Linked DNA regions of Styela clava. Each later gene encodes a partner of the first gene's protein in a complex. Links are inferred from orthologs where the notes say so. Each region holds a gene or a part of one and is shown on either strand. Other genes may lie near its edges.

Region 1 (3,760 bases):
CCGAAAATTGTGATGTCGCTGATTTGAAAATAACTAACATACACCGGTATCGGTACATTACTATACTCACCTGAGAATTTCAAAATAACAAAATAGTATAGTCATCAAAGGTAAGACTACGGCTGCCAGAATGAGGGCAATCGAATATGATAATGAAGCCATGTCATGCCAAGCACAAATCAACGATTTTGCATCATATCTAGAAGTAAATGTTAGTGTGTAGGTATATATATGTCAGAAAAGGGCATGATCTTTTATATTTTAGACAATAGTAAGTCTAAGTTCCCTATGGTAAGGGTGACCAGAAAGCAAAAGCAACTTCAAAATGTATAAATATGCAACCTGATGCATTTATTTCTAGCTTTCTCAAATGTGTATTCTTAAAATAGCGCAGAGGACACTAAGAGAAATTAAATATTGGAGAAAAATTCCTGATTAAAATTCGTTTGTGTAAATGTGACTCAATGCGAGAATTTGGTCAAACCGTAAATAATTGAAATCTTTGATACATTTTTTCGGGTTCATTATAAAATGTACTTACGTGATTTCTCCCCATCCAGCCAATGTTGGCATTGTGATTAGGCATGACCAAATCCATGACATTATTGCCATAAAGATTCCGACATTTTTAGTGAAGTATTTTCGATAAGAAACTAGTTTTACTATCGCCCAGTATCTGAACAAATAATACATATGTTTAGATTGTTTACTAGTATTGATTTCATGGTGCGAAGAAACGACCCTAAATAAAAGTTTAAATGTTTATTTCTGCATCTAAGATTAACTATTTGAATAAAACTACTTTAGTATTTAAACGACTCTAATTATGTACTTTAAATAAGTCTATCAATCATACCATTTGGGAAATATGAAGCCTCGATTGGACTTAATTGAACTATGGTTAAAGGCCGAATGCCTGATTTTTTGGAAACTTGAAATATACACCAAAACCTTCTAGTGGGAAGGAAGAGACAAAAGAATGTTTGGTATGTCTATGAGGTGAGAACAACCTTATCGTCTGTTTTTGCTTTGTTAGACGATTACTCAAATAACTTTTTTTCTTACAAAAAAAATTAAAAACCATACCTATTGAATGCAATCAGAGCCATATTAGCCAAAGAAGAAACACAAGTAATGGTGACTATGAATCCAATTATCTGACAAAATATTCCATCAACGATTCTTTCGCTTCTTATTATTGATGCTGCTATGCAAGGTAAGGTCACGGAACACACCTACCAGTAGAAGTCAATGTGAATGAAGCGTAAGATTTGCTCTGAAAGCAAATACTGTAAGATTCGTTGGCGCGATATAAATATATATATCGATATTTTCGCATATTAATCTAAATTCTAGTCTAGGAATAAAATTCACAAAGGCCAGTTCGTGTTTTTCAACAAACTGACTCTTCTACAAATACCGTTATTCATATGAATTTATTCTTGCCCTGAATGTAGTTAATTTTTTGTACTCTTTATTAGTGGTATATCAACCAATAACAAAGAAAATTGCAAGAACATTTTATATTCTTTGTAAGACTCAAGTTAGGATTATCTCACCAATACATCAGCCACTGCCAAATTAATGATAAAGATATTCCCAGATGAATGCACTTTCTTCTCTAGCACGATTGAAAATATAACGATCAAATTACCGATTGTTCCGAGAAGTATTATTGACATGATGTAAATAAACTCGAAGTACTGTGAAACGAAAAAAAAATTCTGAATATTACAAAAATTAATGAAAATAGAAATATTTTGCGCTTTGCATTGGTTTTAATATTTAAAATACTTGCCTGCAAAGTTCCAAAATTTGGCCAGTAATTCGTGTCGTGATGTTGTGGGGAAACTGTAGAATTTTCATCTTCCATCTCGAATATTATTTAAGCTCTTGATGCGTCAATTTTCAGCTATGATAAAAACTAGTTCATCCGCGATCCTTTCTCTGCCAGCATGTACTTTTTACAAATACAAATAAAATACCACCACATGTTCAGGCGGATCAGCTAAAGCTGACTGCCCGAATGTGCCATATATCAACTCGCAAATTCCGACAAATAATAATTGATGGTAAACCACTCTAACGGTTCGAGGAAATGATGAATTGTTTGATCTTAGTAAATACCACACGTTAATGGTCAGGCTGTGAAACAACTGTAAAATAGACAAAAAAATGTGTAGAATAGAACGTAAAATTAACACTCTTCTGTTGCCATTTTGATTGAATTGTATTATAGCAAACAAATATACTAAAGGTGTATTGTGCTCGTTTACAACTGGTTGTGCGTTCTAGTGTAATTAGATTAGAGTATGTGATATAATCGTATATCTATTTCTTTTTATTAATGCTAAACCCAATTGAACTAGCAGGATGAACTTCTTTACAGTGCACGTAAGAAAAGATGAAATGTAGGCAATACTTATACGGTCAATAAGCATACAAGGTATATAATAATCATATACCAGTTAACAGAAAAATGTCTTATTCGTCATGATAACCTATTAAAAATCTATTAAGGTTGAGCGAAAAAGTAGTTATTCACATTTTTTCCCCTTGCTTGAAGGAAATTTTTCGGAAATACTACAAATGTTTCGAATTTGAGACATACTTGAATTTGAGACATACTTTTGAAATTTAACCCCAACTTTCCGTGCTCGATTATAAATCATGCGTAAAAACGGTAAGAACAAAAAAAAAGCACTTTGATATTTAAATGCCAAACTGAATCCGGGTAATAAAACGACGTTGTTTACTAGTATCAAACATTTGGTAAATTCACCAATAATTTCTCTACAATGAAAAGATTTTTCTCAAAGCCATATTTGCAAACGCCAATTAGATCAAGATTTTTATCTGTCCCAAACTCTATATTCGAACATAAAAATTTTAACCAATTATTTTGTTGTATATCGCAAATGTTTATGATATGTCTAACAGTATTTTCCAAGGACACAATATGTTGCCTTCCTGACACGACATCATTAGTTGACGTAGGAAGCGCGTAACTACGAATGTAAATCATGTTTGCTAAGCATAGAACACAATATGGCAAGTATGTTGTTTAGAAATAACATCATAGCATAAAACAAACTTTTGTCCGTTTGAATTAATAATCTGTGTATGATAAATTTCACATAATGATACAGATACCACGACGTTTTCTACATATTTGTCTTGCAATAAAGCAAATTCGAACATGTGAAGTGCTTTAATTCAGTATTCTCTTTTGTTATATACCAGACATAAGGAGAAGCTTCAGCATAACAGTTTTCTCATTCACTCAAACTTCAAACAAACTAAATTCATCATGATTGCAGACAAACATAGCATACTAGTTTCATGCTTAAATGTTACGTCAAATTTTTCTTGCCTAAAACGTCAACGATATTTCACCCAAACCTTGTTTTTTCTCATGAGTACACCTTCATGTAATAACATTCGATGCATTCGGCAAGGAAGTTTGCTGTAGCCATTTGACTTTCATGCTGACAAAATTATACTTGAACAAGCTTTCTTGATCCCATATAAATTTACTACGCGGTAAAATTGTATGCGCGTTTATTGAAATACTCATGCACAATTTGGACACTAGTTTTTAATATACATTTTACTGTAATTCCGTGTTTTGTGGGACAGTTCGTTTCAGTTATGTGCCTTATCTTCACACATAAGCTTCAAAAAACACAGATATGATTCCAAAATCAAATGCATTTGCAGCAATTGCACATTACAAAACTTGAGTTTAAAATATTCAAAT
Region 2 (3,760 bases), on another chromosome or scaffold:
ATCAGAATTAAGCTAAATACGAATGGGAATAAAATTACTTTTGAGTCGCATGTATGAATAAGTATGAAATATATTGTACCCTTGTACCAAAAATTTTTAAAGAAAATATACTGATGGCCAAATACATATAGATGCCACAGTAGACAGTACGTTGGTAAATTCAGTGACAAATCAATTTATCTATTTGCATATCAATGTGAGAAATATTTCCTTTTACATGCTCTATTTTTATTAATATTTCCCCTTGCTATGAATCCCAAATACTCACCCTTGTGAGTTTTACTTCATTTTCTATTGCATTGTGAAGTCTTACAATACAGACATATTCTTTACCTGGTAAAAAAACACAGAAAATATTTCTGTCAATCAAGTAAAACACTGGCGTGGCCTTCTTTTTGATTAATCATTTTAAAACCGACATCAGTAAAAAATTAGAGTGAATACATTGAAACATCACTGAATATCAGACACGAGTTGTGTCATCATATGCCGGTTAAAGAAAGAAGTTGTATAAATCGCTTTATTTTCACCACAAACAACCCTTTTTATCATTTTTTATACGTTTTTTAAATTCACTCTACAAGCAAAGCTCTGAACGAGCAGTAACATCTGGGTAAAGCTCTATTATTTCTTGAAGCTCCAGAGTTTTGCCTGATTCGCATTGCCTATCAAACTTATAAAAAATGACAATTTGTTAAAATGTGTCTGGCAAAAAAACTAACCTGCAGACTGTTGAGATTTAACAAGCCTTGTCGCTCTTTCTATACAAACAATTAGACAACCGGTTACTTTTGGATCCAACGTTCCACTGTGTCCTGTTTTCTCTACTCTTAATATTCTTCGTATCCAAGCCACAACCTCATGTGAAGATGGATTGGCTGGTTTGTCAAGATTTATAAAACCGGTTCTGCAAAGAATTTTATTGTTGAAAGGTATTCTATTATACACAGCATCAACTGTGTGCCGGTGATGAAATTCGTTTTTTTGACCAATTTCAGAAAATTAATTAAAATATAAGCAGTAGAATCAAGCTCCCAATACTTTTTCATGGGTGCTCCCGAAGTATGCGAACCAAGATGGCGGACATCGGAACGTAACATGGGTAACAGGTTAGGGTTAGGCGATAATTTTTTTCCAATTTTCCTTATTCTAGTCCTATTATCAGTTCGAAGACTAGCCAAGAGCCTCCCGTAGTATTTATACCTAACATTATGGCCTAACCCTAACCTAGTACACATATTACATTCCGATGTCCGCCATCTTGGTTCGCATACTTCAGGAGCCCCTTTTCATGTATAAAAAGTTTACAAAACCTAGGTTTCATACATTTTTCAAATATGTTCCTGACATAAAATTTATCTTAGGAAGACGTAACAATTAGGGGTCGCAATATTGGTAAAGATAAATGATAAGAATAAGTAAATAAACAAGTTTCAGAAAGACTGACATCAGGAAAAAATTAGAGTGATTATTGACTCATCAATAATAATCAGTCATCAATATTTTATCATCATTTGTCAGAATTTTGTTTTAGGAAATCAGAAATATGATTTATATTCACATTCAACTTATGATAAAGGCAAACACTACCTAAGTTTATTAATCCACTGTATTAGCAAATTAGGTTCTATGCAATACTGCAAATGCAAACAAAAAATATTTCAAATAAATGCTGACAGTAATAGAGAGTGTATAAGAATTCAGACCTAACATATTCTTGAATATCTCTTTTCAATGGTGAGCAACCAGAAGGCAGAGGTGTGTAATGATTTGTTCGCACATTCAATTTATCATAATTTTTCAAAAGCAGTGGCCACTGGGATGTGTCTAATTTAGGTGGAGGTTTCTCTTCTGATTTGACAAAAAAATCACCACTCTGTTGCAATTCCTGAAATATAATGAACTTAGTTATTTCCACCAAAATATTTGACTTTTCGCTGATCATGAATATATTCAACATATAATATGACTGAAAAAAAGGTAGCTATAATTTTAGAATTCATTAAATACAACATGAAAAATGCCTTCAAGAAAATAGATTAAATTTACTATATTTTATCATGCATCGATTCAGTTTGTCATAATGCAAAATGAACTAGTAAAATTAGGTAAAATTTTCTGTTAATAGGCTTCAAAAAAGTTGCATGGTGCGGTGCACCAGGTGCTGGATGTTGCTGATTCAGTCTGGTTTTATTGGAACCGGTGTCAGGTTGAAATATTAAAATAAGATTCATAGCAACAAATCAAGTTCATACTCCAATTGAGTGCTTCATCTTTTTCTTTTTCTTTGTGGAACCTAAAATTGATAATTGCAAATGAGAATAACAGGTAGGATGAAAAAAACAAAAATCTGAAAATGGCTATTCATAGATTCAACAACTCTTCATTTAAGGTCATAAGCCCAATAACAATAGCAGGTTCATTCATTACTCTGTCTGTCTGTTACTGTACTAGCTGCATGCCAAACAAATTTTGTATAAATTCCAGAATTCAGGGGCTGCAATATTTCTGATTCCTGTGATTCAATACCGCAATAGACTATTGGGATTCAAATCCGTCCCCAATCCGCCAATAACATAATAAAATTTGTGAGTTATGGTAATTTATTATATTACATTCATGCCCAATCAGCCAATGCTGGAAAGCTTTAAGACTAGTCTATGAAACAGAGAAATACGAATTGAGTTTGGATAAACTGTGTGTGGTTTGACAAACCAGCATACAGACATTAGATACAGGCATACAGTTGGTTTCAATATCTCAGGGCAGTTAATCTCACTCAATAAAAAAAGTAAAAGCTAGTAAATGATAGACATGTAATTATTATATATGAACTTACCATTCTGCGAGACATCTGTTGAAGACATGACTAAATCTACGAAAACAGTCAGACGTCGATCGCCGCAATGAAATATTTTCCACGTGCAAAATTGTCGTGTGCACATGTTTTACACCAAGGCGCATGCGCCGTGTCACGCGTGGTCGACCTCGGCGGCAAGTCTCGAGGTTTTTGAGCAGGTTTTGAGTAAAGAAATAATCAGCAATCAGCAATTTATTTTTTCACCATGCTGAATATGCACACTCACAAATTATATATAAAAAATAGCATTCCAGGGTGAGGGGGGAACGGGAAACCAAAATATGGTTATCCAGCAGGGGTACCCAAAAAAGTCCAACAGAACATGAGTAAAACGTCGAACAATATATGAAATACAATAAAAAACACTAAGCACGCCTAGGCGACCTGGTATATCCCGCAGTCGTGTGTTTCCACCAACGACTAACTATATAAAAACGAATCCTAGCACCATATTTTACAGACCATAAGGCCGTATTCAGTTAACTATGATAAGGCGCGCGTAAATAGGTCGCATCGCGCTGCAAGACACACCGGCTATTGAAGCTATACCGGTTTTGGGTGTAAGCCTGGGGAATAAAGCACTTGACTACCTGATACATATATTGGGCGCACGATCGATTTTTGAGATAAAAATGAGATATAAAGTGCATATTAATATAAAATACAGTATAAATTTGGGAGAAGATGGAAAGGGCCCACAGGCCACAGCCCCCGATCAACATTAGTTTCCCGCGCTGTTTGCTAGACTCATGACATCCAGTCAAAAAGGTATGAAAAAAATTAATCATATTAACAGCAAGCGCAACTCTAATAATATTCACAAGTTTTCAGAGATTCTCGCTTGAATAGTGCGATCTATCATATATTGTTTAATTTATCAGCCATCAGCTTTGTTTTCGA

What was found. The genes of interacting proteins can lie anywhere in the genome.
Region 2: H/ACA ribonucleoprotein complex subunit 2-like protein (region 1) and H/ACA ribonucleoprotein complex subunit DKC1-like share a complex: the UniProt entries of both Drosophila melanogaster proteins name them as parts of the box H/ACA small nucleolar ribonucleoprotein (H/ACA snoRNP) complex. The link is inferred for Styela clava from reciprocal best matches to the Drosophila melanogaster genes NHP2 and Nop60B.

Annotation. Positions count from the first base shown.
Region 1 is NC_135251.1:15,281,615-15,285,374, forward strand, and holds the start of H/ACA ribonucleoprotein complex subunit 2-like protein, read left to right. Parts: upstream 1-964; 5' UTR 965-979; coding exon 980-999; intron 1,000-3,760. UniProt on the Drosophila melanogaster protein: Component of the box H/ACA small nucleolar ribonucleoprotein (H/ACA snoRNP) complex, which catalyzes pseudouridylation of rRNA. This involves the isomerization of uridine such that the ribose is subsequently attached to C5, instead of the normal N1.
Region 2 is NC_135256.1:12,639,726-12,643,485, forward strand, and holds the start of H/ACA ribonucleoprotein complex subunit DKC1-like, read right to left. Parts: upstream 2,999-3,760; 5' UTR 2,946-2,998; coding exon 2,840-2,945; intron 2,297-2,839; coding exon 2,256-2,296; intron 1,889-2,255; coding exon 1,707-1,888; intron 908-1,706; coding exon 723-907; intron 334-722; coding exon 269-333; intron 1-268. UniProt on the Drosophila melanogaster protein: Catalytic subunit of the box H/ACA small nucleolar ribonucleoprotein (H/ACA snoRNP) complex, which catalyzes pseudouridylation of rRNA. This involves the isomerization of uridine such that the ribose is subsequently attached to C5, instead of the normal N1.